Bombyx mori: one gene and its partner. The protein of the gene in region 1 purifies or fractionates together with the protein of each later gene. This does not show direct contact. Links are inferred from orthologs where the notes say so. Each region holds a gene or a part of one and is shown in the gene's direction. Other genes may lie near its edges.

The links.
Region 2: the proteins of cyclin-dependent kinase 20 (region 1) and peptidyl-prolyl cis-trans isomerase FKBP8 purify together in Homo sapiens (affinity purification with mass spectrometry; 5 studies listed by BioGRID and IntAct, with this or other methods). This does not show direct contact. The link is inferred for Bombyx mori from reciprocal best matches to the Homo sapiens genes CDK20 and FKBP8.

What each region holds. Positions count from the first base shown.
Region 1 is NC_085131.1:6,627,692-6,644,362, forward strand, and holds the start of cyclin-dependent kinase 20, read left to right. Parts: upstream 1-5,821; 5' UTR 5,822-5,967; coding exon 5,968-6,165; intron 6,166-6,879; coding exon 6,880-7,068; intron 7,069-7,197; coding exon 7,198-7,319; intron 7,320-7,747; coding exon 7,748-7,862; intron 7,863-12,939; exon of another isoform or gene 12,940-13,950; intron 13,951-14,232; exon of another isoform or gene 14,233-14,806; intron 14,807-15,582; coding exon 15,583-15,810; intron 15,811-16,671. Other genes in the region: JNK1/MAPK8-associated membrane protein, read right to left, coding at 137-346, 711-943; Ugt2 (uridine diphosphate glucosyltransferase precursor), read right to left, coding at 2,106-2,412, 2,487-2,706, 2,894-3,116, 4,006-4,833. UniProt on the Homo sapiens protein: Required for high-level Shh responses in the developing neural tube.
Region 2 is NC_085125.1:9,567,768-9,584,302, forward strand, and holds peptidyl-prolyl cis-trans isomerase FKBP8, read left to right. Parts: upstream 1-7,202; 5' UTR 7,203-7,386; intron 7,387-7,530; coding exon 7,531-7,722; intron 7,723-8,132; coding exon 8,133-8,276; intron 8,277-9,310; coding exon 9,311-9,573; intron 9,574-10,916; coding exon 10,917-11,163; intron 11,164-11,344; coding exon 11,345-11,635; intron 11,636-12,759; coding exon 12,760-12,846; 3' UTR 12,847-12,879; exon of another isoform or gene 12,880-13,842; 3' UTR 13,843-14,986; downstream 14,987-16,535. Other genes in the region: cyclin dependent kinase 5, read right to left, coding at 1,808-2,046, 3,458-4,115; GPI ethanolamine phosphate transferase 2, read right to left, coding at 15,587-15,845. UniProt on the Homo sapiens protein: Constitutively inactive PPiase, which becomes active when bound to calmodulin and calcium. Seems to act as a chaperone for BCL2, targets it to the mitochondria and modulates its phosphorylation state.

The sequences.
Region 1 (16,671 bases):
TTGGCTCTACCCCTGGCATTGCTAGCGTCCATGAACAACGGTAATCACTCATCATCAGGTAGACTATATGCTCATCAGCCTACAAGGGCAATAAAAGAAATTACTAAATTACTAATAAGAAAAATTTAATACTTACAAAGGATACACTGCTTCCTGAGTACAATGCAACATCTCTTTATAATCTGGCTGTGGATTATGCAACAGTGTATACCAATCCGAAAGTGCTTTTGGTGAACACATATATAGTGAGACTGACCCAGGCGGAGGCAGCACTAACAATGCGGCAAGTGTTCCTGATATGACCTCCAAAAAGGCACACATGTGTTGTATGATAACGCCATTCTCGCTGAAATGTTAATTTAAAATACATAAGTCAAGAATCTCAAAATATTTTTAGTTCTGTATTATCAAACTTTCTTGTAGAGCTAACAAAATTGTTGATGAGACGAGACAGGTGATTCAGTGAAAATGGAAAACTACCTTAGATTTAAATATTATGATTTACTTTTTCGAAATCTTATCCCTCATAATAAATAGGTAAGCACAATGTGACTGTGTCCGTATTCCAATTTCATTCTGCTTATAGTTTCATGAGCCTTGTAAATAGTGAGCCTGAGATTGGCTACTAGGATAGTAATAATCGAGTTTGAAATTTATGTAAAGATGGAACTAATATTATGAATTGTTTTCTTTAAGTATGAAATACTCACGCTTTACCCCTGGTGACCATGTCAATGAAAAACCAATGCAAAACCATGGGCAGGAGGACCATAAAGCCAAGGTACTGCCAGTCATATAGAGAGGGTTCATCAACGCACGGCATGCAGTAACTTGATGCGTTTGTCCTGAAACCTCGCGGACACGCCCCACAGTCACTCCACGACCCATCTTCGAGTTCAATACGACCACAATACAGTCCTGGACACGATCTTACAGCTGCCATTCTGTAATGGAACAATCTACAGCTGAGCTGTATAGATTGTATTTACTGTTGTATTGTCTAAGTGATATTACTATTTATATTAGTCTCAGAATCTTTTTTTCAGAATTATTACTTCGTCATAATATCAGAATCATATGTTAGACAGCGTACCTGTGTGAAATATTAATATAAATTTTATAATTCTTTTAATTCCCAAGCTTTTAAAAGTTTTAAATTGCTGATATCTGTACATACATAGTAGTCAATGTCAATGTCATGTTTTTCTTATTTTTTTGCACTGTGGTATGCAAAGAAATAGCAACACATTCTATGTACGGTACCAAATTGAATAGAGGTGGCATGTGGCTTAGAATAGGAAATATTGGTTTTCGTCGGAAGAGGCTACCACGCTAGCAATTTATTTAATTCAAAGTTTTAATAAATTTTATAATTCAAAGCCTTTAAAAAAAATTTTACTCTTTGAAAATTTATAAATACAATTCCACATCCCCAAAATGGATGTTACCATTGCTAGCATTAAAAAAAGACTTGACCTAAAGGTTTTAGTTACCAGGTCATAAAATCTCTTAAAGAAACCATTTTTAAGCTTATAAAGTTTTTAAGATTAAGTACCTACCATAGGTTATACACTTAATATTTGTGCCTACTATCGTGTCTATTTCTGTCGTCATGCATCCTGACTTAATGAGTGGGACACATGTTTTACAATTTAATAAATCAACCTCGTATCTCCAGGCGAGTGGCGGCTTTCACTTGTATTGTCTATGGGCTCTCAGTACTGAACTCTGTCCGGGCACAATCAGTCAATTCATTCAATCGAATCATGTTTCCAGATGAGCGGTGGCATACACCCCCTAATATCCATCTTTTGTTGGTTTTTAATACATGAAGTTCCTAACTGAAGCTCAGCAATATTAATTATTATTTATTTGCCTATAAAAAATGTCACCCTTTTTGGTTCTGAGATAAACCACTCCGGTAGATATTCCGGTACGAAGGGTATGAAACGTGTAGAAAACCAATTTTATTCGATCCTCAAACTTATAGGTATCTCAATGTTAAGGTTTGTACCGTAGAACACAAGTACTACTGGTGTAATTAAAAACAAATTTCACAAAATATGTTTAATATTATCGATACTAAATAAACATTTTAATTCGATTTACAAAGCCTTGAATTTTCCTTCTGGTCCTTGACCAGTTCTCAGCACAAATCGTGCTCGTAAACGTCTGTAAATACATTTCAGCACAAGAAAAGTTAAATATAGCAGAAATAGAACGACTGCAAGTATATAAGTAAGAATGTCCAACATGTAATATTTGATGAAGGTAACGCCAACAACTGGTGAACGTAGATGTTGTGCGCCGCGGTTACGAAGAACGTATTCAGTCCACCAGACAGCGTTGTCGGGACCCGAAATCAACGGATCGACAACCATACCTTTAAGCTTAATTATCGCTTTTTTGTACCTGAAAATTTTAAAAGAAGTCAGTAAGTAGATACCAAGTTTCCGAATTAAAACTTATTTCAATTTCATACTTACTTTTCATCAGTGGCCACTGTGGATATGACCTGTTTCAATGTTTGTTTGTCAATGTGTAAGGGGTCCAAGATTTCACCAGCGCCGTACTTGGTAAGCTCTCTTATAAATATCTTTCTAGATGTGATAAGAGGAAAACCTATGATTGGTACTTCATAAAATAGTGCTTCTTCCAAAGATCTAGGTCCGCCGTGAGTTATAAATGCCCTTACGTTTTTGTGTGCTGTAAATAGAGAAAAAAATCTATTTAAAAGTTTCAAATAATTATTTGGATTTTGGAGTATTAATGGCATAAAAATGTCACTACTTAAAATAAATGAATATCGAAAAAAAAAGTTAAAATTCATTAATTATCTTAATATTGTCTCATTACCAGTACCTAAATAAAATCTGCAAAAAATAATAATTACCCAATAATTGTTGTTGCGGAAACCATACGTCTGTGATAACGTTATCAGATAGCTTTAACGTGCTCATTTTACCAATCTTCCACAAAACTGTGAAAGGTAATTCTCTAAAAGCATCCGCGAAAACTTGAAGTGTTTTAACAGATAATTTCTCCGCCTCTTGTAGAGTTCCCAAGCTAAAGTAAATTACTCCCTTCGTTTGAGAGTCTAACAATGATTGTAAATTCTAAAACAAAATTTTGCAAGTACATTCATTACTTACATAAAAATATTTCTGCAGCGTTAATGATCTGTAGCTATAGAATACTATCTCTTAATTAAAATCCATATGTTATGAACATCACAAATAATGAACAGTAAAGTCTTATAACAATAAAACTTTATGCATATAAAATATAAGCAATAGGCTGCCTAATCTTATAAAGCAATCTGTTTAAGCATATATTTTTGTCAGAGAAACCATTTTCGACAGAGTTAGCAAAGAACCATTTTGTGACCTGAGTCCAAAGTCATCACCACCTAGAAACCATATCATCTAACACATGAGATACGAGATCTAACGGAAATTGATAACTGCTTCTCCCTTCTACTTCTTCTTGTTCTGCGGGTTCTTGCCCACAACATACCCTTTTATGTGCCTGCGGCTGAATATATATAAGGGGTGTGCCTAGGGCACTCGATTTATGTAGCACCCTCCCTCGTCGAAAATGTGGTTATGCAGATGGAAGTCCGTTAGACGAAATCGGGTGATGTAAGTGATCAACTAACTGACTCTCCCATACAGATCGTCCGAGCATGAACCATCAGTCAACAACCCTTCCGAGACAGGTAAGAGAAGTGGCCGCAGTCAATACCTCAACCAGCAGCCACCGCAAGAGCGCCAGACTGACGGAATCGTTATCGAAAACGTCTCCACGTGGCGGCACTGCTGATGTTTGGGGATACCCCTCTAGATCAGATTCAGAGGCAAAACCGTGGTTCTTTATTTTAAGCCTAATGAGCTTCGCACGGCCTCGATTTCTCCAGCCACTCCGAATCCGGTTACCGAGAGAGACCGCCATCATAACACCGAACATAACCTAAAACATAACGTTGTAATATATAAAAATAAATACCTGCGGAAGACTCATCCTTGGTTTAATATGCATCCGATCCACAAATTGTATGGCAGGTACAACCGGTCTATTCCCGATTAACAGCGGATTACTGGCAATGAACAACATATCGATGTCATATTCAACTTCTTGTAAATCTCTTTTCAATCCTAGTATCTTTTTGGCGGCAACATCGCATAACGGCAAATAGTTGTTGTAAAACTCTGTTTTCGTTTGTATGTGTCTGTAGAATTCGATAATTTTCTGCCAACGAGTCAAATTACCGTAGTTCAGTGAGTTCACGTCGGGATACAAAATAGGGTGAATGGGATTGCCTTTAGCTTCGTACTGGTGAATTTTTCCATTAAATGTACTTATCGTTATATGTGGAGTCTGGTATTTGTCAGCTAAAGCGTAAAGTAATGGTACATCTGCTTCAGTTATTACCAAGTCGAATTTTACATTAGGATTAATGAGCAGCGCCGTCATTTGCTTGGACTTCAGCTGCGCTATGGCAATTTTTAGTGAGAGCTCGTTCAGTGCTTTAAGCCGCGGATAGTAATCGTCCGTATTGGTCATCAGCCTTTTGTACTCCTCCCAAAACGGTGCTGATTCTTGACTAACATCTAGCTCGATTATGTTTTCTACCTCCGGATATTGAAACTCGCCTGGATAAGGAGTCATGACCACAACGGAATGTCCTCTTTGAGCGAGGAGAGACACATAGCCCCGAAAAACCAGATGATCTGAATAGGAAAGTGAAGAGAAGACTGCTAATATCGAAGCGCCTTGAGCCGCATAACACGGACATAAAACTAAACTAAAGAAGTAGAAAAACTTTAACCACATTGTGGAGAAAACGGACACTACACCAAAAGTGACTAGTTGTGACTGACGTGGAATTCAAAATGATATAAGTTTATGAGGAGGGCACGCAGTAGGTATTATGAGCAATAAAAGAAAATTTCACATCTGTACAAACATGCTCAATTTAGAACCGATTCATTGTAATATAAAAATGTTATGGTAGAACTTGGCTAGAATACGTGCATATAGACAAACATTCATTATAATGAGTTGTAATTATTTTCTTCTGACTTGGTAGTAGTTGTACCTGACTGCTGAGCCAATATTCGTGGGTTCGATTCACACATCGGCTACACATTCGTGTGTCTGAGAGGCTTATTGCTCATTAACTTAAATTATGCTTTTTGGCCTGAATATTTTATTCTACATTGTACTAATTTATTTAAAGGTATTTTAGCAGTCTGTGGTTCCTATAGTAAAGGGAATCCTAGTATGTGCTAAATTAACCGTTGTGATTTGGGCCAGATAACAAATCATGCACTCAAATGGGAGGAGAACATATTTTTTGGTATCAGACAGTGCTACAGCATTTTAAAGCGCTGAACGTACGCTGTTTTAGATAGTCCATAGTCTTGCGAAACGAGATGCTTCGTTGGAAGTACCTACCTTCGTAACATAGAATTTGCAACGTCGACAATTTTCTTTACTGTTTTTTAGTAGCTTAAGTGGAACAACGAGTATAAACAACTACGACACGGCATTTACGATGCAATTCGATCATATTCAATTATGACAAAACACTTTTCTTCTTGTTTTTATTTGCAATATTTATGTTTTTACGAGCTCAAACGTGGAGTTAAACTTAGTGGCTCGGACTACCGCGTACATGAGTAATTTTTTTTTAATTCAGTCGGTTAGAGATGCAAAAATGGCACATAAAAAAATTTAAAGAAATGTAGATAAATCCAGCGTTTCAGAGCTACTCAATTTTTCTAAAAAAATTTATTAGCATATTTTTCTAGTGCACATGTGAACGTTCCTTAATCGTCATAGCAACCAGTCGCCAACAATACTGTGTTGATTATAAAATATGTTATTGTAATATTAAAGTTTTGTAGATAAAACTTAGGGATTATAATCTGTTTTAATGTTATATTAGATTCCATAGTTTCTAAGATGGATTATGATGTTAATAATTATACAGTCGTTGGTCGAATCGGTGAAGGAGCCCACGGGCTTGTTTTCAAAGCCAAACACAACACAACAGGTCGCGAGGTGGCCTTAAAGAAAATTCTGATAAAGAATCTTGAAGATGGAATACCGGTCCATGTCATGAGAGAGATCAAGGCTTTACAACTACTAAGATGTAAATACGTCAGTACTTGTTTAAATTCACTGTAATTTAAATCCAATCCTTTCGTCCTAAAAAATACCGTTACAAAAAAAAGACCGTCAAAAAGCTCAAATTACTTATCTAATTGCAGGAAATTGTATTGTATTTTATTTAAAGTAAATATATGAAAACGATACAGATCCCTTTTTTTTCCTACCTAAGTTGATAGCCCTGAGAGGCTATATCAGCGTCGCTTTAACTAGTAGGTGAGCTCACGGGGTTCAAACCTGATGACGTTGCTAACACGAACCCTAGCAAGAGCCGTGCTTCGCAGAATCTACCACCGGATCGGAAACGCGACCCACTGAGAAGATCCAGCGAGAAACTCAGTGGGCTGTGTCTGAGGGTTAATTTACTCGTAGAGCCTTTCGTCGCAAGCGACGGGTTCGACGAGAACGATGACCAGTGCTTGAGGTACCTAAAAGCACCGTTAGTGGATCGGGAGGATCCGAAATGACGTGTTTGGGGCGAGGTCAACTGCTTTCCATTCTGTCCGCAGGATCGGGCATGTAGTTACCGGCGGCCACGATGAGAGGATTCTCGTGTCGTGCCGCTTTATCCAAGTAGACAGATCCCACAGTTAAGGCGGCGTTTGGTGTGATTTTTAAACAGAAAGGATTGCCATTTCACAGTTCGAAAAAATAACACCGTAACAAAACTGCACAGTGATTGATTTATCTTTTTTCTAATTTCAGATTATTAAACTATACGATATGTTCCCGCGCGGCATGAGTCTTGTTCTCGTGCTAGAATATATGTACTCCGGATTATGGGAAATGTTGCACCAATGCGAGCATGAACTGACAATAGCTAGAGTCAAAACTTATGCAGAAATGTTATTAAAGGGAATGCGTTACATGCATGCTCATTACGTCATGCATAGGGTATAGTATATCATTATAATTAGTACTTTCTAGAATAATCCAGAGCATTTCAATTATTCATTTAAATGTTAATTCAAAATATAATTTCAAAGATATTCGTAAAAATGTATAGCTTTTATTGTGTTTAAGGATCTGAAACCAGCAAACCTGTTAATAAATCATGAGGGAATATTGAAAATAGCAGATCTAGGATTAGCGCGACTATACTGGCCTGAGGGTGGTAGGCCCTATTCACATCAAGTGGCCACAAGGTTAATACGCACTATATTATTTAATTAAACAATCAAAGAAGCCACGTCCGCATCGTTTTTTTTTGTCAGGAGGAAATCACCGGACTTCCGCCCTCCCCTGGGGATGGAGGGCGGGGCATGTCGGAGTTGAACCGACTAAAACCTCCTGTTGCTCAACAACCAGCATCGAAACCTCGCATGAGACAGAACTCATGAAAGGAAAAGGGGAGAAAGTGAAGCGCTTAGTGCGGAGCACATCTCTCCCATCACCTTCCCCCTCGGGACGCCGGACCGGCGGTGGTCGGCGCCACGACCACCAGCCCTCTTGGTCGGCCTCCGCATCGTTTAGTGAATTTTCAAATTATAAAATCGTATCGTTGGCATTGTTTATGGACTGAGAATTCCATACCTTCGTATATAACTTTACTTTAAACTTCACTAAATTACAGGTGGTATCGTGCTCCGGAATTGTTGTATGGAGCACGCTATTACTCTGAAAAAATAGACCTGTGGTCAGTTGGATGCATAATTGCCGAAATGATTACAAAGAAACCACTATTTGCTGTGAGTAATCTAGTATTCGTATTTTTAGTATTTCATTAAAACAATTATTATCGATGTTATAATCACTATTATCAAAGGGGATTTTAATAGGATTTTTAGTCTACACGTTATCATGGCGGCTGCAACAGCGTCTAAATATCAAGAACTTTAATACCTAATAAAAATCATCGAAATTAATAATTACTAATCCAAAGAAATTTAGAAATTTTATATTTGCTTTTTGTTTATTATTTATGAACTGATCTCAGAAAATACAAAACCAATTTTATATTGGATTTCTCTTGGCAAATTATTACACAAAAGTACGGGCACCATTTTATTAGCAGAGCGGAAGGGAAGTGAAGTGACATAGATACATATTGTAATAATACATTATAGACTAACTAAACTAAATTATAGACTAACATATTATTATATAGCCACAGAGTAGTGCACAGATCCTAAAATATACTCAACACACCCCCTCAATTTATAGAAGTTTACAACTGCTAAAATTGTTCAAACAAAATACAAGTTTAATGAATTACAAATTTTGTTAACTGTCCACTCTGTGCATTACTAACACTATTTATCATAAATACCTTTTTTCTTTTTCTTTCAATATTAGTTACATTAAAATATTTACTAAATTAACAGTTATCTAATTAATTCTCTTAAGATAATAATAATGCTAAACAATTAAATATGTATAACATATGCATAGCTTTTCTAATACAATATTTAAACTAAATTCAACTTGCTACAAAAATAATTATGTTTTTGAATAGTTAAAGATTTTGTAAATATATCAGAGATATTTTCATTTGTAGGCACATATGAGATTGACACTATTTTCTTATAAATTAAATCTTTAATGTAGTGATATTTTATTTCAATATGTTTAGAAGCTTTAGTATTCATCTGATTTTGTATCAATTTTATTGTACTCTGATTGTCAATCAATAAATGAGCTGAAATGATACTAGTACTTAATATGTCAGAAAGTATGTATGTATCCTTTGATGTGAATAAGTTCACTCATTGAGTGTGCTCCAGCCACATACTCAGCTTCAGCTGTTGACAGGGCGGTACATGTTTGCTTTCTAGAGAACCAAGTTATTAAGTTCTGGCCTTGATATATAGCACAGCCACTTGTGCTCTTACGGTCTGTTCTATCTGCTGCCCAGTCAGCGTCTGAGTAGGCTATAAGTTTTGTGTACTCTTCGGTCTTCCTATAAATCAGTCCCTGATGCGAGGTTCCTTTAAGATAACGTAACACTCTCTTACTTGCTGTCCATAATTCTTGTGTGGGTTTATCTAAGAATCTGCTTAAGAATGATACAGCATAAGCAATATCCGGTCGACTATTCACAGCAATGTACAACAAAGATCCTATTAATTCCTTGAAGGGTACTTCAATTATATCTGATGGTGATGGAATGTTTACATTAAAATTAATTTCCATTGGAGTCTTGCTTGATTTGCAATCTTGCATGTGATATTTCTCCAGGAGTCTTTTAATTATTTCTGTTTGTCTTATTTCCAAGCTGTCTTCTGTTCTTGTTACTTCCAATCCTAAATATTGATGTACTTCTCCTAAGTTTTTTACTTTAAATTCCTTTTCTAATTCCTTTATCATCTCATTGCTATTTCCAAGGTATAAAATATCATCCACATAGAGTAATATCCAGATTTTTCCTTTTCCATATAGACATAAATCATGCTGTGATTGTACAAACCCTTTCTGAATGACAAAATTATTAAATCTTTGATTCCAGCATTTAGGTGCTTCTTTTAATCCATACAAAGCCCTTTTAAGTTTTAAAACTTTTCCTTCACTAATTTCCATTCCTTTGGGACATTTTATATAGACATTGTCATTTAATTTTCCATTTAAGAAGGCTGTTGGTACGTCCAATTGCTTTAATGACAAATCCAGTTGAACTGCTAAACTCATCATTAATCTGATAGTTGACAATTTGGCTACCGGAGCATAATGATTATCATTGTTCTGTTGCTGAAAACCTTTCGCTACTAATCGAGCTCTCTTGGTTCCATTTTGTTTAGTTCTGAATACCCATTTTGTGTCTATTGCTTTACTTCCCATTGGTAATGTAGCTTCTTCCCATGTCTCTAATTTCACTTGTGAATTTAATTCTGTCTTTATTGCTTTTTCCCAGTCTTTGTCATGAATTGCATCTTCAAATTCTTGTGGATCTCCCGATAAAAGACAGTATGCTATATTTAGATCATATTCTTCTAAGTTTTTTGGTTTGCGAATTTCTCTTCCTGATCTTGTTATATATTTCTGTATATTTATTCTACCTTTTTTATTCAATTTTTCATTTTCTTCTTCATCATCTTGATTATTCTTTGATACTTCTTTATTTGTTTTATCAGGTATTCTATCATGTTGCATGTTTTCATCATTCTCATTAAGTATTCTTATCTCTTGGTCATCTTTTGTGTCCTTCTCAGTATCTTCATTTTGTATTAATTCATCTTCATAGTATGTTTCTCCTTTTATGTTATGCTTTTCTTCAGTTTCCTTGTAGTTTAATTGAGTTTCATCAATTCTGACATCTCTTGACACTATCACTTTATTACTTGTAGGGTCCCATAGACGATATCCATTTGGGCTATATCCTACGAGTCTCATTTCTTTAGCTCTTTGTAAAAGTTTATCTTGTTTTGGTATGATATGAACCCATGATTTTGATCCAAATATCCTAAGTCTTGTTAAGTCTTTGTTTCCAAACATTTTCTCTGCTGGAGTTTGAAAGTTGATAGCAGACGATGGACATCTGTTGGTTTGATAGACAGCACATCGCACCGCTTCACCCCATAAGGTTTTTGGTAAACCAGATTCAATTAATAAAGTCCGAGCTCTGTTATAAATATTTCTGTTCATGCGTTCTGAAACTCCGTTTGATTGTGGGCTATAAGGCAAAGTAAACTGTTGAACAATTCCCTTATCTTTGCAAAATTTATTTAGTTTTTCATTTTTAAACTCACCACCATTATCACTTCTGATTTTCTTGACTTTACATTCTATTTGTCTTTCCATTCTATTAACATATTCTATGAGCCTATCGGTTGCCTCACTTTTTCTTTGTAATAAGTATACCTCACAGAAATGTGTGTAATCATCTATAATTGTATGAAAATATACCTCATTTGTAAGTGTAGGAATATTTATTGGTCCTGATATATCTGTGTGTATGAGTTCTCCTATATACTTTGATCTCGGCTTGGGTGTTGTAGAGAATGGTAATCTTGTTGATTTTCCTTCTACACATATTCCACATGGTTTTTCTGAGATAGGTAATTTCAATAATTTTAAGTGTTTTCTATTAGCATGTCCTAACCTTTTGTGCCATAGATCTTTATCATTATTTATCGAATAACATTTTTCTAAGTTTAATGTTAGATTGATTGCATACAGACTATTAAGCATGGTACCATAAATTATGTTATTTCCTTTAGCAATTGATACAGAATTTTTATGAAATCTGACAGAATTTCCTTTCTCTAATAATTTTTTAACAGATAATAAGTTGTGGGATAGCCCCTTGACAAGTAGTGCTTCTATTTTAATAGGTAAGTTATTATATTTTACATTTAAAATCCCTTTTTTACTTGAAAACAAATATTGACCATTAGCAACATAAATCTTAGTTTTAGTTTCTAAATATTCAATGTTTGACATGTACTTTTCATAACTATCAATGACTAAATTTTGAGATGCTCCTGAATCAATAATAAACTTAATGTCCTCATTATACACATCAACAGATAGTACCTTTTCACTGGCAACAAAAGAAAATGGATTTCTCTCACTTAAAGCACTTTTTCCTTGTTGGAGTATGGTGTCCCTTGATGATCCCCTCGATTGTCCTCTCACGTTGCCTCTGGGATTGCTTCGGTTAAAGCCTCTGCCGTTACCTGGATTGAAGTCTCTGCCGTTGCCTCGATAGAAGTCTCTAGTGTAACTTCCGTTGAAATATCCGACGTTGCCCATTTTGCCTCGATGCTGTCCTCTCATTAAGTGTCCAGTTCTGCACTGTATAGCTTTGTGACCAGTTTTACCACATTTAAAGCAACTGAGGAAGCTGTGTGCATCCTGTGATTCCATTGAATTATTTTGGTTTTTTAGTTCTGCATCTAACAATTTGCTTTTGACATACTCTGTTGTGAGTTCCACATTAGTAGTTTCTAAGGCGGCAATTGTAGTATTGTAGCTGTCAGGCATAGTCAGTAGTAAGTGGCACACCTTGTCTTGTTCATTTACAGTGCTTCCAGTTTCTTCTAATTGTCTTATTAACATATCAAAATTGTTGAAGTGGTCGCTCAGTTCGACACTGGGGTCACATTTTAAGGTTAATAATTTCTTCCTGACGTATAACGCAGATAACGTACTTTTTCTTTTGAATATTTTTCGTAAGTTTTCGATCATCTCTTTTGCACTCGTAGCGCTTCTGACGTATTCCAAGTGTTTGTCTGAGAGGCAGTTGACTATCAAACTTCTAGCTTTTGCGTCTTTCTTTTTGAATTTTTCTGACTTCAATATTTCCTCTGTTATGCCATCTTCAATTGCTTCTTTGCATTCCTTTTCCTCTAGGATGCATGATATTCGAAATATCCACGTGCTGAAATTAGTTCCAGTAAACTCTGGAAGTAATTTTCTTGAAGCGTCGTCCGCCATTTTAGTACCGAGTAATTTTTTGTCTTCCTCTCGACTTTTCGCTTTTATTGTTACTATTATATTTCTTCTTCGTTAAATTAATTCTTTTAAACTCCAAGTGGCGGTCGTTGCGCAGTGGAAGCGTATTGGATTTCTCTTGGCAAATTATTACACAAAAGTACGGGCACCATTTTATTAGCAGAGCGGAAGGGAAGTGAAGTGACATAGATACATATTGTAATAATACATTATAGACTAACTAAACTAAATTATAGACTAACATATTATTATATAGCCACAGAGTAGTGCACAGATCCTAAAATATACTCAACATTTTAAAGATTACTTTGATTGATTTTCCTTTACACTATGTAGAAGTTGTAGGTAAGTAATTTATTCTGATGTCAAATAAATTAATCCGAATCATTTTTTTTATTTTTGCGGTAAATATCGATAAGGCCTGGCATTAGCCACCGACTATGCTGTTCCTGACATTGACAATCCATAAGTATCTAATTATCTGGCTTCGTGGTAAAGCTTTTAAAGGATTAGATGGTACCATAGAGTTACTATTCTAACTGGAGTGCTTACTTCGTTTGACATAAAAACTAAAAATATACTTTATGTCTATGGCTTAAAGTTTATTTTTAAATAGCAAAAGATGTAAGGAAAAACGGTCTGAAAAGAGAATGATTATTAAGTGGTGGTGTCCCTCTCGCACATTTTACAAACAAAAAGCAGTGTTGCTAGCTTAGCGGATTTTCCATAAAATCTCGGAATTTGGACCCCCGTCTTAGTTATCAAAAATGGCTTTTAGTGGTTAGTGGATTTTTTAGTAGCTTGGGCGTTGTTGAAAATTATCGAAAAAGTTAAAATCAATCCACTTTACAGGATTTTAAACATTTTATGACAATAATATATCTAAATACATATTATTTAAACGATGTGACTTAAACTTAACTAGAAAATGTTGCGAGAATTTAGAATTTCCATCAACGTCAAAAATTAAATTGGTTCAAAATAAACGTACAAAGTTATGGTGAAATTAGTTTCGGATGATGACAATTTATTAAAATAAATTATATAAGAAGTATTGATTATATGATATATATTGATTTTTAATAGAACATCATATATTAATAAAACTTATTAACAAAAAAATTATTGTTCTATATTAATAAGAACTCTGTTTAATGGAAAATTTAATGGTAGGTACGTAGATTTCTGATGGTTTTCATGTTGAATTTGGTGGGAAGCCAGATTAATTGTTGGCATCACCGAAAAAGAGCTATGAATGGATTAAAAGAAAAATGGCGTCTATTTACGTTTGTAGTGCGAAGTTAAAATGGCACTGATACAGCTTGTGGCTTGTTTTTTTTCGAAAATCGTGAAAGTTTCCGTGTAATCATGGTGAACACTTTTAATGTAAGTGGTTTTAAGCGAGAATCCTCTCCAGTTTGTGGAATATCCTTCCATATGTCAGATTCATTGATAAATTTTTACTAGTGTGAGCATATATTTTTAAAATGTGAGATATTTTGTCTCATTATAATATTTAATACCATTTGTCTTGTAAATTGTACTTAATCTATGTCATATACTAAATTTGAAAAAACAATCGTGAAAACTATAATTTTGCAATGTATTTTTCATATTATAAGAGCCATCACGTGGTATTTCTTGAACTTTTTTTATTGTATTGAATAGCGTCGCACGCAAGCATGTATATCATTTGCCTGACGTTAAGCGAACGAGGAGGATCTTCTAGTAAATATGACTTTGGAATTTCTGGAAAATGTCCTTTAAAAAGGTCAAACAAGAAGAATCAAGTACTCAAACGCAAGAAATAAAAAATACCCCGAGAAAAGCAAAATTACGACAAGATGTTAAGGTATTGAAACAAAAACTTAAAAGTCGTGAAATAGTGATTGTAAATATAAAGTCGATTTTAGATTTATTAAAGAAAAATGGCGATTTTTAATTGAATTGAAATTTAAATTGCGAAATTTTAATGATACTCATGGTCCACTTAGATATTGATTAAAATAAATAATGTATTTCGTTGAAAAAAAAGAATTTACTTAAAAATAAATAGAGGAAATGTTATATTATAAGATTACAGAAAATTTACTGAACTTAATAATAATAATATAACCAATATTTTGTAAATAGAGATCAAGTACTATGTGTATTGTGTTATGTGTATTGACTTGTCATTTAAGAGTTATTTAATTGTTTACATATAACAAATAAATGAATTTCAGTTCATTTCATTTTATTACCCATTGTGTTTTATTTCCTAAAATGTAACTAGTAGACTTAATATACACGTGTCATGATAATAGCACAGAAGTAAAAATACAAGTAATTTTAAATCAATTGAAGATGTGAATGTAGGAAAAGAGCACCCGATACGCGCAGACCATGTGTGTTGCAGTGTCTCACTCAGTGTGTCAAATATTAATTTGCACGGCCCACTTAGCCAGTACACTAAAGTAGGAATTGCGTAATTAAGTTCAACATAATATTTAAGTCGCGGTTGAGTATTCGGACGTTAAACATGAGTTTGAGGAAGTTTAAGTAATAGCACTGAGGTAATGATGTTTGTAATAAAACTCAGTGCTAGATTTTCGACAACGCAGCAACTTCCAAAAAAAAACGTCGAAAAAAGGCACCATGACGACGAAGCAATGTTTAGAATTGAATTTACATAAATAAAACGTTGCAAGCACGTGTTTTGTATTTACATAGGGTTACACAGAATTACTTAAGGTAAATTCAAAACTGATGCATGTGTATAATTTTATCCTATAAATAAATTTTATATGGTCACCACATTAGACAAGGACACCGCGACCAAAAAGTATTCTCTTTCGAGACCGATTTCTCGGCATCAGACAGCACTCCAGTTGTAGGTACTTATTAACTCCATGGATGGTACAAACACGCGGCGCCACACGCAAAGGGGTTTCCGCACTCAATTCCCATTTCAGGAATATACCAATATTCTTCAATATTTTTCAATGTTGGGTACCTAATACTTTTTATTTGTTTTAGGGAGAATCGGACATTGAACAACTAGCAATTGTACTTCAGCACCTTGGAACGCCCACAGAAGAAACATGGCCCGGTCACTCGCAACTACCGGACTTCCATAAAATATCTTTCCCTGAATCTGCTCCGACGCCATGGATTGACCTTTTGCCAGGCGTGGAGCCAGACGCAATTCATCTAATAAAATCATTTATTTTATATGATGCTGACAGAAGAATGTCAGCGAAACAAGTAAGATTAATTTATACATTGTTACTTTATTGAGCCATTTTATTAGGCACCTCAATACATACCTGTAGCGTATAACCTGAAACGGTTTTTTTTGTAGTGAATTCTTCTTTAACATAGTTATCATTTGAAAGTCAATCAAACGAGAACGTGACAATAAAAAAAGATAAACTTAAACGTCTATTTTTAGGACTTATCTAGGACTCAGCCTTTTTTCACATATAATTCAACTCATTTATGTTCATCTCACGCCTATTCTAGATATCCCATTGTCATAAATGATTAGACGACCATAATGGGTCATGAAGACTGATATTCAATAACTATCGGATACCATAATCATCAGTGTGCTTAGTGCGAGTTTTGTAACGCTCTCGATAGCGAGCCAGTTTGCTCAAATTTGTATGCAATTGGAACAGCGCCCCTAGCGGCAAACGTACCCGGTGTTATTTTGTGAGTGCGAGCTCATATTAACGCTGTGATCACGTAACCGAGTAATTTTACCGAAATGAGTACCACGAATGACATTTGTGCGAATGCGTGTTACAAATTAGTGGATTTTAACGTTTCGATCGAGTATTTCTTTAGTAGTTCTATTTTTCCAACTACAGAGGCAAAAGTATCATGCCATAGAGCCTAATCTTTTTTTATGAAAAATGATAATATGGAGTGAAATGGATTTGATTAATTTGAAGCATTAATCGATTGGCATGGAATGAAATGCAATGAGATCAGATAATATGGGATATAATATAATCTCTGTAAAATGCTGATTATTTACTGAGATTTATTTCAGTGGACTTTTTCGAAGACTTCGAGAAGCTACGTCCAGCGGTTTTGTTTAATTTTTTTACATTTTCGCAC
Region 2 (16,535 bases), on another chromosome or scaffold:
TAGCGAGAAATTTGTTTAGACCCATTTTGACGAAAGATACTTGGTGAAAGAGTTAATTATCGTAAATGATTTTGCCAATCTAATAATCTTCCGATCTGTTTTTTGAAACTTTTAACTCGACTGGGAATTAATATATTTTAAGATTAGAGTAGAATTATTTTGTCCGTGCAGTTTGGGTCATAAAAAATCGGAGCGGTGAAGCGAGTATTTCGCTCTCTCTTCCACTCACGAGCCTTATGGACGGGCATAGTGATGCACATTATTGTTGTCGATAAGCGTTATCGATAGTGTGTTTAGTTTTGTCATTTTGTGGGTTAGTAATAAAAATGAAAGAAAACATCAACGAACACTTACACCACATATCGACGCAGCAAGTTAACGAGAACGGCAGAAATTAACACTTTGAAACTTTTCGAGATCTATTCTTATTTCAGTGAAAAATTTAACACATTGTTGATAACAACACGTGCAAATATTATTTTGAATAAATTCTGCCGTTTTGATAGAAAACAAAGGAGTAGCCATTGTGTCACTGAAGAAATTCAGAGAACGAGTGCATAAAAACACATTTCTCTTCGACATAATACTATAATTTGCAGGTAAGTACAAAATTAAATGACTCATAATATAACAATGTCTCACCACCCTTCGTATACCACCCCGCCGCCGTGTATCTGCCTTCGATGACTTATTTGTTTTTATCGATAATGGCGTTGCGCCCGCGCAACATGCTCACCGCCCTACCAGGGCTATGTTTTATGACCCAAACTGCACCGACAAAATAATTCTACTATAGTTTCTAGGTTTTTTCCATTAGAACATGAAAATACAATAAATTATTTTTAAAAAAATGTTTTAGTATCAGTATCATTAAATTCCCCTTTAGCTATTTAATTCCAAGTTTTTGTAAAGTTAAACATCTTTCTCGACCGCAGAATAAGTCAAGACGAGTTGTTCACACGAAATTTTTAAATCTAGAATTTTTTCTGCATTATGGATACATACGAGGCCAGAGCAAAAACAATACCCCGATAACAAAATCTTAAACAAAGACTGTCTTTGTCAGGGAATCGAGTATGCGCCCGACGGTACAGTAGCAACTAGATTGATTTGATCATGCTACTGTGCCACAGTTGAGTATGTAGATTGGATTGTATTGTTTACAATCAGATTTCTATTACTGTTTGTAGTAAAATTTATAATTAATTAATAGTTACTTATATAACTAATATAGCATGCACATAACTTAAATGCACTTTGAGTGGAGTCAGTTGCTAATAATGTGAATGCACATTTACAATTTTGTAAAGTGAGTTTTTTAAATATGTAGTCAGCTATCTGACTCTACATTTTCATTGCTAAATATAAATAAGTTTCATTTTAACAATCAATTTTGTTTTGTTTCAAAGTGCATTTATGTTTTACGCATCAATATTATACTTAATATTTATATGTTTTTACTTTTTAATTCATCATTTCATCTTTCATATTACACATTATTAAAGTCCATTTGTAAACCATTTGTTCATAAAGTTAACTTCATTTTAATTTAGGACATTTCAGTAATAATTATAAAATCGATTAAAAATATCACTAGTAGCCAAATACTGGAACCTTATCAATATAATTTGAAACATAACAATTCCCAATATTATGGTATTTAAAATTACTTGGTAAAAATACAGTATTTGGCAGTACTTTTCTTAAAATCTAATTAAGTCTCATCCTCACAACACTCTTCTATTTCATCATAGTTCTTTTCACAATAAATAAGTTCTGACGTACATTTGTACGGATGGATTGATTGTTAACATCGATCATTCTTGACTGACGGATTGAGATCGTGGAAATACGCATGCGCCATTGCATCATCAGCTGGCATTCTTAAAGCTGGATTGCAGGTGAGCAGCCGAGCGAGTAGATCTCGACCTCTAGCCGGCAATCTTGGTACAACTTGGGCGAGGCCTAAACTTGGCTGATAAACAGGCAAAGGTTTGTAGTCCGGCAGTTGAGTTACTCCAGGCCATGTGTCCTCATTGGGTGTACCTGATAAGTAAACATAGTTTGATTGAAAAAGGATAACTGACAGATTAATACACCCATACAATACCAGTGACACACTTCCTATTTGTATGTCAATGAATAAGTCTTTGCAAATGGCACAATATTTACAATGCAAGAGCTTTGATGTAATTTTCCTAGACAAATCTATATATTTTTACTAAAAATATGTAAAAGTTAACTATTATTTTGTAACACTTCAGTACACTCTGTAGGCATTTTTATAAATACTATGTTTACCGTAAGTTTCTGAAATGCAGAAGAAGAAATCTTATGATGGCAGAAAATTATATTCATTTGCTAATTAAAGTATTTATGATATATATATAGAAGGGGTCTGCAATATGACTCAGCAAAAAAATTAAATAACAACACAAAATTTGAAACATGAGTCGACTATTATCAAAGGCGGCAATCTGACTTTTTGACAATGATTGGTAAATCAGAAAAACGAATTATTGACTTTGTATTCCATTGGCAGTCACAAAACTCTTCGGAACGACATCTTAGATAAATAACAGGTTAACTATTAACCTTTATTTAATGCAGGTTTTGAACCGTATTCTTTGAAGGAGACGATTATATTCAAATAAATCTGTATTGACATATCAATAAAAAAAATTTGTCCAAATGTACAGATTGCCACCTTTGATAATAGACGACTCACATGTTCAAACTTTAATGGTATAATATGTATTTTTTAGTTTAATATGGTACATGATGTCATGATTGACTATTTTAGTAAAAAAAATGATTTATTATTTAAATGCCGAAGTGTTCATCAATTACAATAAGTTATAGGAAAGGAAACACTATTCCTACTTAATGACATTGTTCGACCGTGAGTGTTGGGATTAACATTCTTATATTATTTTGTACTTGGAGGACTAGGCTAACAACTTTTGTCAGGCCGGTAATCTTTATGCCAACCCATAGATTGTTTCTAACTTTTTTATGCAGAATCTGCAATCTAATAGGGGGTTGACTAGAAAATAGTATGTGTGGAATTATCAGACAGCTGTTTACTAAGCCCCCAACAGAATAAAGTAGCAATGGTGATATGGTATATTGTAAGCCTACTCTCTAGTTTGTTGGGAGAGTTAAAATTCAATAAATTTATTTTACATATTGTTATAATCTGTCCGATCCTTTAAATAAGGCATCAATCAGACATAATCATAGTTCTTACTTTTGCATAATTATATGCAGTTAATGTTGGTATTAAGCTCAGAGACTCGGCCATTCAAATTTAATTTAAGATCTAAACCAGTTTTGTGATATGACTTTTTATTGTCACCAAGAGCCCTTATGTGGTTTTCAATATAAAATCATAATTAGGCTTCCTAAATTCAGAATAGAGTAATAAAACTTTGGAGATTTATTATGATGAACTCACCTAAAAGCTTAAAAATCCTCTTTAATTGATCATCAACATCTGAACCTGGGAATAGCGGTCTGCCCGAATTTGCAAGTTCTGCAAATATACATCCAGCAGACCACATATCAATGCTTGTTGTGTACAACTTAGCACCAAATAATACATCAGGAGGCCGGTACCATAAGGTTACAACTTCAGCGGAATAGCACTTTACTGGTATGCCAAAAGCTCTGGCCAGACCAAAATCAGCTAACTTTAATTCACCGTTCTTGTTTATTAAGAGATTCTGTGGCTTCAAGTCCCTATGGAGAACGTTGTGGCTGTGACAAAAAGCTAGTCCTCGAAGTAATTGATACATGAATGATTTCACAACATCTAGATCTATTTCTCCATTCAAACTATCGAAGTATTTTTTTAAGTCTTGATCACAATGTTCAAACACTAGGGTTAATTTCTTTTCGCTGTGCAATACATCGTAAAGTCGCACTATATTTTTATGCTTTAATTCTTTGAGAAGACATATTTCACGAAGAGCGGAAGATGGTACTCCTTCATCGTCGTCGTCTAATCTAACACGTTTGAGCGCTACGATTTCGTGTGTTTCTTTATTCTTGGCTTTAAATACCGTACCATAGGTTCCTTCACCGATTTTTTCAAGTTTCTCATATTTTTGCATATTTTTGAACTACAGATTTACTCACTTTAGTTCGATCGATTGTTTTTAATTTAGACTGACTTATATTAAGTGTATAATCTATGGACTGACTGATTTTTGAGTAGTTGTTCTATTTTTCCAACCGGACAGGCACAGGTATCTTACTATACAGCCTACGCTTTTGATATATATTTTTTGAATAATGATAATATGAAGTGAAATTAAATGAATTTGATTAATTTGGAACGTTAATCACTTGACATGAAATGAAATTAAATGAGATGAGATAGTATGGGGTGAAATATAATCTCAGTAAAAAGTTGATTGTTTACTGAGACTTTTTTGTGGACTTTTTGGAAGATCCCGAGAAGCTACGTCCAGCGACTTTGTTTTATTTTCCCATATTTGTGTACTTTTACAGATACTAAACAGTTAATAAGCCACGATTAATCACACACTACCACATTTAAACCTGAAGAAACACTAAATATACAGAATAAAACAATTCACACAACTTCACTCCTCGCATTCCTGCTAAAAAGTCCTCTGTCTTATTAGTACATACTACATGTTGGAGTTTGAATATGAAAGTAATGGCCGGCAACAGTTGACACATGTAAGGTTACAGTTTCGAATATTGGAATTATTTTAAAAGTCTAAAATAAATAATTGTGTTCTCGTCAGTGAAGACAACGACTTCTCATCTAGACACGGTCAGAGCAACATCTAAGAGTTTTATAAAAAATAAAACATTGTAATAATGTTATAGTGTACAAAGTGTTTGCAATATAATTATATTAACCATGAAGCAGAGTGTTTTTAAATAGCCCCTCATCAACCTACAGAACCCAATCCCCTCAAATTTCACCGTCCAACACTACATACAACTATCTTATAAATCTACATATTATTATGCATGTGAAGGGCCGTCAAACATTCATTCGCAAACTTAGCAGCTGTGCAAATGGGTTCGGTAGTCAATTCGCGAACCCGTTTGCGCTTCCTCCTACACTTGTTTACGAATGTCTCACGAATTTCTCCTCCTTTTTAATTCGTCAATAGACATTGAAGAGAAAAAGAGTTTTGAATTCTTTCCCAGACATCATTAACAGCCATGCTGTTTTTATGGGATTTCTTTTGATGAAGATACGTTACACAGTAGACGTCACGAACTATGAAAATGACGATACGTCCGTTACCTTCGTAATCGTCGGCGCAACTGGGCAAACGAATGTGTGGGAGACTACGCGAAGGCTCGCGGTTCGCGCGCTTTGATGTCTGTTAAAAAACCGACACAGCTTGGAAAACCACGAATGTAGCGAAAACTTTGCATAATCATTTGCAAATGTCGTCCTACACTTGCGGGTTTGCGTATTCGTGCGCATGTGAGTGACCGGTGTTATAAACGTGCAAGGAAATCATAGTATTAGAGCATACAGGCGCAGGTCTAATGCTTTTTCTTTTTGGAAGAATTTGGATTTTGTGGCCTGGGAAAGAGACCTTTAAGGCAAGTCAAACGCTAATCCAGATTAAAAGGTGTCTTTGAGGGATTAAAAATATATGAAATGAAATTGCCCCGCGCCCGTCTCGCTCAGTCGTTCGTTGTCACATAATGTCGCATAAAGCATTTGGATTGTTTTGATCTCACGTAAACAATCGAACTATAACAGTTCCTTTAAGCTGTTATTCAATACTAAACTTTATCCAGCCAGTAACCTGATAATATTATTTACGTCATAAATTGATGTAATAAACGGTAACCCAAACGTTCGACTGAACGGGTCGTACGAACCGGATCATTTTGTCAACAGGTCAGTACCGTAAAATGGGGCGATTAGGGACAAATTCCAACTTTATGAGCAATTTTAAGGTAGTTGTTGATGTATATAATGCTATATCAGGATCAAAATGATTGAGTCTTGGGGGCATCTTTGTTGTCTAATTTAAAAATAAGCAACTAGCATTCCAGTTTAAGCAAAAAATGCAAAAATAGGTGTAATCCCTATTTACCCGAAAATTGCGGTTAATTGGGACGAAATGAGAAATTTGCTAGGGTTGGCACTACTTTTATTTTTATATATAGTTTTAATTTATTTATTTATTTAGTTGCACCAACAAAGTGATCATCAATAAAAAAAATTGAAAAACTGACAAAAGTACATGGCAGACATCACCTCAATTATAGGTGCAATCGACAGTGCAGTAACAACAAAATATATATATATATATATATATATATTTACACATATATAGTGGGCTTTCTTAGAAACGGTTTATATTTCTCCGTTCTTGGTAAGTACTTAGGGGGCTGATATTTCTATCTGGGTTAAGAGATTAGGTGTGTCGGTTATTCCATGGATTAATCAGATGAATACCCCCACTCTGAACAAATATTAAATATTCTATTATGTATTACTGAAACATTTTTGTCACCTTGAGATTTCATTGATCTTGTTACATGTCTCTGCAAAATCGACTTACTTATATTAAATTGCTTATCTATTTCAACTAAAGACTTATTCCCAATTTCGCTTCGATAAACCAGATTTTTACCAACAAATTTAAAAAAGATTGTTATAACTACATAGACAACCCTACAAACCTGTACCTATTTATACTTAGGTCGTTTCCATTTCACGTATTCTCATCCCAATTGACCCCTTTTTCGTTGTTATTTGTACCTAAGACGTCCCCAATATCCCCAAGAACAACAGATTTTTACATGTATTTTTATTTAATCAAATACATTAAAACCAATAACAACTGAGACTTACCTTTAATATATATGCTGGTTCAAACACTAAATAACGTTTATAAATCATAGTCGTCTTCTATTATTATCAAATAAATAAAAGAGAGCAAAGTTTCTAGCACTAAAATAATTACCACCACAGGAAGTTAATTTGAAACGCGATTTTTTATAAGTTAGCAGCTATTATCATGCATATTCAGAGTTGTTTTGTGAACTTTCAACATTCTACTATTAAACTACAAAAAAATGGAAGATTTTGCAACGAATATAAAACTTATATTGAGCGTCGAAAGATTTTCCCGGTTTTTTCCCGATTCGCCTTTCAATCCCTAATCGCCCCATTTTACCGGTACTGATCTGAATCTCTAAAATTGAACGAACGACACATATCTAGTGGTCACACTGAATCAAAGCCAAAAACTTGAATTGTCATACTGTCAAATATTCTCTGATTTATTTGTACCTACTTGTTACCTAGTTTTGTTGTGTGTTAATATATAAATATTATCTGTTACTTTCGCTTTCTAGAAACTTTTAAAGGTAAGAGTAAGATAAATGTCCTCTTGATAAATTCAAGTTGCGATGTCGATAAGATGTTTTTCAACATGAAAATAGTTGATTGAATGATAAACATTAACTACGTATTATCTTTACGATCGAACAAACACCACGCTTTATTTACAGATGAGTGAAGAAAGCAAAGCTTTGACGGACAAGTCTGAAAGCAGCTCTTTCGAAGACTTAGCGGCTGCGGCTGCTGAGGAGATCGAGGAAGCGAAACTTGCCGAAGCTGCCGCAGCAGAGAAGGAAAAATCCCCAGAAGTAAAGAATGACGAATGGCAAGATGTTCTTGGGTCCGGAGCTCTGCTTAAAAAGGTTGCTTAAAGTTTAAAAATATTAATCTAAACTTCTTCTTTAAATCAATAGATTAAATAAATAAAAATTTAATTTCGTTCATTACTTAACGATTTATTCACCGAAAAGTTTTTATAATGGGATAAAAAAAACTAAAACCCATAATTTTAATATAAAAAAAAATAACTGTACATGAGGCAAATTTAAAATATTTCAAATATATTTTCCGCTTTTAATTTTTTATTCCAAATTAAACAAGGAAACTTGTATCCAAAGTCTTAATAAAAAGAAGAAAATGTTTAATGGTTAAAATCAAATGCATAAAGTAGTAAAATCACCTCGGAAATTGCATCAATTGACTAAAACTTACAAGAGTATTCTACTGTGGAACATTTGCTACATTTCAAAGCAAAAGAAACTCCCATTTGCAGATATTGAAACAAGGGGATGAAATATCTGGATCCAGACCACAAAGAGGGGACATATGCAGAATCAGCTATGAACTCAAAATAAAAGACAGTAACAACATTGTGGAGAAAAGAGATCAGATAAAAATATATTTAGGAGACAATGAGGTGAGTTAAAACTGATTCTAATATATATTATCTAATAAAGTTTTTTGAAGTGAACTGAAATAATCCTAGAGTCATTAATGTTGACACTGATTTTGGTTTTGTGGTTGGATGATGAGGTTTATCACCCATGTACTAGCGATAGACATTCCAAAACAAATTTAATAATTATGAATAATCTGTGTGAAGATGATTAAAAAAAAGCTTTAGGGCTGCTAATATGAAGCTTTGTCATTTCCAGAAGTTCTTGTTTCTTATTATTCACAGATAATATATTGATGATAATTTTTGGGATTATGAATATATTTAGTACATTTTATCAGTTTCTGCCTTTGAGGGTTTATAGTAAAAAGTATCTTGTAAAGTAGGTGATGCAAAGACTAAAAATGTTTTAAATTTAGGTATATTTTTGTGTTAAAGATCTATTATTTGTTCTTATCAGAAATCTGTTGTGAGCGATATCTTTTCCTTGATTTACTTATATGCATTACTTTATATACTGTAATATGATGGCCATATTGATTAGATAATTTTTGTTTGCATCTTATAAAATTTAAGACTATAGAAATGAATGCATGAAAGTTTTGCAAAAGTGATGAATAGCATTTGAAATCTATATGTCAGTTAAAAATATTCAAAAATATAATTTTATTCAGAAATGAATGATTTTGTAACTTTATATTTTTTTTAGTAAGATGTATTTATATTGTTTCATAATCATTATTATTTATGGGTATTTATAGGATGTATTTATTGATTTTGAGAATTTAAGAATTAAATCATATTTTTGCAGTTTTCTTCTGAGAGGTTCCACTAACCTACTGTCTTTCTTTTTAGGAATGTGTTCCCTTGCACTCTATACATATTGCAAACCAACAAAAAATAACCATAAACATTACAGCAACTATAAACTAATTATAGACGAAAAGTATCTAGGGCAGTTTTGTTCCTAAATAATATCTCTTCTATATAATTGAGTAAAATTATTTTAACTAAAACAACTGAAACTGTTTCATTAAATAAATTTAATATTTTAGGTATTGCAAGGTTTGGACCTAGCATTAACTTTAATGTACAGAGGTGAGGAATGTATTTTGCAACTTGCTCCAAGATTTGCCTATGGAGAAATGGGACTTAAACCAGGTGAGAGCCTTGGATTAGTCGGACAGTGTGATGAACCCAAGTATAAAGGACCTATTATTGGACCAGACACATGGCTTGAAGCCAAATTAGTGCTGCATGATTGGTCAGAAGAACCTGAACACGATGTATTGTCAATAGCGGAAAAAATGGAAATCGGGTAATGTATTTATGTTTCTGTTTCAACTATAATATAATTTTCTACTTTTAATTTATAGCTAAACTAAAATAGAACTAAAAAAAAATATTTCAATTTAATGTTGCTATTATGATTTTACCAGTAGGATACGTAAGCAAAGAAAAACTCATGAAAGTTATGTTGAATTACAATAGTTGTTGGATTTTAAGTTCATAATTAGAATATCCACAGAATAAAGCTTGTGTATTATTTAAAATATATACTACGGCACTGCACTACTAATGCATAGGTTAATGAGCTCCTAGCTCACCTGGTCTTTAGTTTTAAAACCAGAATGCCACCACCCACCTTGAGATATGGGATTGAAGTGTCAATAGTATTGTATAACAGCCTTTTTATTGTTCCATGATTCAGACATAAATGGTGTTGACTACCCTTTCTGACTCACAATGGGCCTCTAACTTATATTTTTTAATTATGATTTTATACCTAAAATATTCAATTATGTTAATTTTGTAGTCTAAATTAGCAAATACGTTGATTTCATAATGCCCTTGAATAATGTTGATATAGCTCAGAATAATATTATCAAGGTCCCACCAAATGTTGCAATAGTTGGTTAAACATGTTGACTGATTAATAATATTTAAATTGGGACAAAACTTTAATATATTCACTTGGTGCTATTTTAAGGGTAAGTTGGTATTTAAAAACATATTGCATTGAAGTTGGCCATGTCTTAATCAGTAAGACGCCAGTCCAACTCATATAGATTGATGCAATATTTTGCAACTATATATATTTATTTCAAGCCTTGCAAGGATTTTTCAAAAAACTTATTAACCTTTAAGCTTTATCAAAAGCAGATAGAACATCGTGTAATAAAAATAAAAATTGTGTAAAAAAAATGCTTATTTATCCGTGGCAGGTTATTAGAGCTGGGGTATATATAACACCATCCACATGTTTTATGTTGAGTGGCGACATTCCTATTGTATTTTCTACGGATTCCATTATCTATTTCACTAATTAATGAGTCATGACTAATTTGTGAAATTGTCATGACCAATGTAGAACAAAAAAAATATGCAAATGTTTAAAAAATATATAATATGAAAAAATTGCCTGCATTTTACTTGTAAAGATAAGCTTATGAGCCCGAAAACAGAGTTTACTAATAGCTATTTATTAGTTCAATTACTTAAGTCTGATTACTTGTGAAATATGGAGAGTTTTGTATGTTCGTATTCAATTTGTTGGTACTATGTTATTATATACTCACTATAATATTAATACCATCACCCAACCGGACAAAAAGAACAAAGTATCAAACGCATTGTAATTTGTTTAAAAAAATATTTCAGAATTCGTCGTAGAGCCCGCGGTAACTGGTGGTACGGTCGTGATGAACCACAACTAGCGGTGCAGCTATATCGGAGAGCTCTCGACATTCTGGACGAAAGCGAAGGAGGGATCACTGATCCCACGCCGTCTGGGGAACTCACATTCGCTAACCAGGCACTGAAAGAGTTGCTGGATGAACGACTCAGGGTTCATAACAACATGGCTGCTGCTCAACTCAAGGCCGGAGCTTATGAAGCTGCTTTACAGGTACGCCGTGTGACAGATTTAAAAAATGTACAAAGGTACTCATTTAATACAAAATTGCAATAAATTTTAACGAAATTTTGATTAAAAATAGTAAAAATTTACTATATATTAGACACGAACTGTTTTCGTTTGAAATATAAAAGTTGATTCGCCATAAAAATACGTTTATTAAATATTTTAGGCCGTAACCAGAGTACTTTCATGTCAACCGAAAAACGCTAAAGCTCTTTATCGCAAATCACGCATTCTATCTGCGATGGGACGGAACCCTGAAGCCCTGGAGGCAGCTAAAGCAGCGGCGGCCGCAGCCCCCGAGGATACTGGTGCTAAAAAAGAATTACAACGATGCGAACAAAGAGCTTCTAGGGATCGTTCTGTGGAAAGGAAACTGGCTAAACGTATGCTGGGCACTACTGACGTGTCGGCGAAAAGCGATGCACCCTCTCCCGATAAGAAACCTTCCAGGTCTAAGGTTAGTTTGGCAATGTGTTAATGTTGAAGTGTTTTTGTGTATCTTAAAAAATGCTATACTTCATCAAGTACATTTTTTTATGGCTCATTCCCCTCTTTAGATTTACCCGTTTTGAAATGGAGGTCTTACTGCATGGTACACTGATGCTGTCAGACCTCAATTGCATTGACGAAGTTTGTCAGTAGGGGCATTTTGAGAATTTCAAAATGAGACTGTTTATTCTGATCATCGTATTTTGAAGCTGAGGTCTTGGATAGCGAGGGCCTTTAATATGATATACCAATCATTTTTCTATAGCCAGAAATGTTCTGGAGCATTTATCTGTTTGTGGCCTCATGTAGCGTACAGGTGTCAGCAAACACTTTTTCCCGTCGGTGTCGTAAAACCGACTAAGAGATTCATAAGAAACGGCAAAAGGAAGATCTTCCACCTAGCCAGTGAAATCGCTCGGTAGATTGACGGTCCGAATGGAATTCTTCGAAGTTTATATACTACTAGCTGACCCGGCAGACTTCGTAGTGCCTCAATCGATAAATAAAAGACCTAAGCTTTTGTATAAAATAAACTTAAAACAAACAAAAGGAATCCGTCTGATGGGGGACACATCAAAGGGAAAACAAAATTGTTATTTTTATTTAATTTCGAGCACTTTCATATTTATCTACATTTTAAACCTTCTCTGGACTTCCACAAATAATTCAAGACCAAAATTAGCCAAATCGGTCAAGCCGTTTTCATGTTATGTCGTGACAACGGAAAACGGGTTTCATTTTTATATATATAGATATGTATATAGTATATCTAGTTCGCATCGATAGGTACTACCACCCCGCGCACTATTTCTGCCGTGAAGCAGTAATGCGTTTCGGCTTGAAGGGTGGGGCAACTCTTGTAACTATACTGAGACCTTAGAACTTATATCCCAAAGTGGGTGGCGCATTTACGTTGTAGATGGCTCCAGTAACCACTGAACACCAGTGGGCTGTGAGCTCGTCCACACATCTAAAGCAATAAAAAAAAACTTGTCTTGAAATTGTCATGAGATTCTGGCATAGTGTCCAATAACTTGTGTTCTGTGATAGCTACCACTAAACTAGCTTTTAATTTTATTTATGATTCTGCAGATCCTAGTGTGGGGCTCGCTTCTGCTCAGCTTGTTGGTGGGTGTCGCCAGCGTCCTCGTATACAGATATAAAATGCAGGCGCACTGACGCGACGTTCATTTTACGATGTTTAGAACATATGTAAGTAAATACCCTATTATCAGTACATAATGTATTATATTCTATATTGTTCCCTCACTGCTGAGGATCTCGACCACATATGACCTTCCTCCATAGTGTTCGGTCATGGGTGGCATGGATCGCATGGTTCCAGACTATTACCAAGTGCTTCTCTTACTAGATCTGACCATCTGGCTGGTGTTACTGGTATACTGTATTAAAACTTCCTAAATACAACGATCAGGATACTAACCTGTGTTATGTTTATGGATTTTAAAAAAACTCTTTCTAACCAGGAAATGAAAATTTTGGTAAACTATAGTACATTGTGCACCAAGGGAGACAAGTTGGACATTGCCTCCCGCGTGTAAAATAGCAAACACGTGGCAGGGAATGTCCAACTTTTCTCCCGCGGTGCACATACTATTTTTTCTCCTACCAGGCCGAAAGTTCGTGAAGTACCGAGCCGGGGTCCAAGGGTGAAGCCCAGGTGGGGGCAGGGGGGCGGAGCCCCCCCTTACTCATAAAAAAAAACCAATTTCACTGTTTTTTTATTTTTAAATAGTACTACTACTAATTAAATAAGAACTGTCTGATGAACTCATCTTTGTTCAATACTTCACTATTAAATTTTATTGCCTTTTGTTTATTTCACTTTTACACTAAACACAATATTGTAAATTACCCGAGCACAACAATGGCGGAGAATTTTAGGTGCGTGAGAGCAGACGTAGACACTAACGCGCATGCGCACTTGTACCCAGGGAGAAAAAGTTACACTTTCTTCCCTGTAAAGCGGGACGAAAACCGAACTTTCGGCGTAGGTAGGAGAAAAAAATAATATTCATGTTACTGGGAAAATTCTGAATTTTTTTAAATATTCAATAGGATCAGTATCAAAAATGGAACATTTAAGTGAATCAAGTTTGAACACTATCAATGACTAAAAAAAACATTTCATGCTAAACATTTACCATTTTCCAGTTAATGGAGATTTTGTTGGTGTGGAGTGAATTAGTCGGTGGAAGGTGCACATTATACTTAAGGACACCATAATACGCTGATACTACTGACTTGATTACTAAAAGATATATGACTTCAATATTCGCTGTTGTGTTAGTATTAATAAATATCACAGTTAGGCATTGTTATATAATAAACAATATAATTAAACAAAACTCAAGTAGAACTTGCTGTCAACTTAGATAGCTAACTTCAGTTCTAATAGTAAGGAGTCTTGTTGATGTGCTCAATATCAATTTATTATAAATCAATATTAGGATGCATACGTTTGATGTTGATAATACTTGATATTATAAAAATTTAAATCATTAATCAATATAAGAAGTACATATTATCGAAAATTACTTGAAATAGATGTAAAAAAAAAATTCAGCTGTTACATAATATGAATATCATGTGATTTTTATTCGTCCCATATCCTTAGAAGTTGCAGTTTTAGTATCACTTAGGTAATTCTATTCTTGTTTGTATTGTAAAAAGGGTATAGGCTTAGGTAAATGAATACTGCTTTGAGAAAACTATTTACAATTGCACATTATTATTTTCCATAATATAGTTTTTTTTTTAATAATTATATTTCGTTTTCGAGATTTTTAATATTGAAAAGCCTTAGGGTAACATAAAATGTAAAGGCAAAAATATCTGTTGTAATTTGATTTAAAATTGTGTTTTAAATTCACTAGTCATCATTAAACTTTTAAACAGCCTGTATAATGTATGTGTTTGTGTCAGAACTCACGACTGGTGCCAAACATGTACATATGTATTTATTTGATTATTTATAATTAATATTAATGATACTGTAAACGTATAAAAATATATTTTTTGACTATTTTCTACATAAGAGACAAAGTCATTCCAATTGTATTTTCAAGGAATATGTTTGATAATACTTTTTTTATATTTTTATTTCGCTTCAATCGTTTCGCTAAGAGCTGCATTTAAAATCTCAGTCTTGGGAGTTTTAACACAGTTTAAACCCTAATATGTATATATAATGTATATTTTTATACTATGTTTCTTGTTCGCAAACATCATCAAGCATCACAATAATAGTTTTCATCCTTCAAAAAAAAAAAGGTTCTGAATAAAGAAATTTATCAAACACTTGTTTTATTTAAAAATATACATATACAAAAATTATGGTTTCGCATACTTATGTTGCTATTTATACATATTATAGGAATGCAGTCATCTATGATTCCATAGTTCCTTAGACTAATTAACATCAACGATGGCTGCCTGTGTTTTAAAACCGTAATATTATAAAAGTGTATTATCTATGATAGTAATTACATACATGTACTGACGTACTTTCTTTCAGCTTAAAACGCCTGCGCGTGTGGCTCCGCCATGCGGGCGACGAACTAAGCTCAAGTGTTAGAACCTTCGCCTAACCACAGCATCATTTAATTTTTATTAGTCACGTTTAATGTGTACGTAACTATGTTCACCCACAGCTGTGTATTCACTGTAACTATACTTGAGACTTTAGAACTTATATCTCAAGGTGGGTGGCGCATTTACGTTGTATATTTCTATGGGCTCCACAAACCTCTTAACACCAGGTGGGCTGTGAGCATGTCCACTAACAAAAAAAAAAAAAAAATTCAGCCAAACCATCCTTGTAAAAAATATACAAATTCATAAAACAATCATATCATTTTCAACTTTATTATATTACACTTTTCTGCTTTGTTAATACTTACCTCAGTCCTGATCTAGTGATTAGTACTCTAGCCAGCCAACTCGTAACATGCGTTAAAAAAATAATATAACCTATGGTAGCTAACGCCTGTACACCAAAGACTGTTGCAACGAAATCGTATAATAGTTTAGGAGAGAAGACAGACCACACAAATAAATGGTGTCGAAATATTGTCGCTATCACTGTATATAAGACGACAGCGTATACTCTGTGGAGCGCCAATATGTTTGTAGCCCGCCATATTGATTTTAAGTACCTGTAAGAAATTTTAAAATGTTAAATTTGTGATGAATTGCTGTGACATTTATGTGGAGTTCACGACTTGGAGTTTTAACTACTTTTACGGTTTAAGTTTCACCTTTTTATAACTAGTGGTCCCTCAGTATTCGAAAGGGGAATGCCCACTCTCCATAGTGTGCTAGGCCCAAGATGGACATCGAATATTACTATAAAAATGTACTGATTCAAATTCTTAAATGTATTGGATATCTAAAAAATATATTTAAATTAACGCCACTATTATAAAAAATATAATAAAAATAGAAACTCGTTTTGAAGTTAATTTTCTATATAAATAAGTGTCGGATTGTGAGATACTTCAAGAACTTTTCTTTTCTTAATGTTTAAGATGTTCCTAATGTATTTTTATCCAATACGGTATAAAAAAACCCACTTAATTCTTTAAATATCTATATTTTCTTCATCTTCATACACAATTAGTAAATTATCTAAAAATAGCAAAGGAGAGCATATACACGGTTTTAAATCTCGATCAGGGTAAAACCACAATTCACACAATGTTTTTTAGTCGTAGTATGAAACGTTAATGATAAAAGTGAAATAAATCGAAGAAAAATCAAAACACAACCATTTTGTACGCAAGCACAACACCTCAAGCAGCAAGCGAAGTGTCAGTCGGTCAGATTAAATTCAGTGTTGTCAGTAT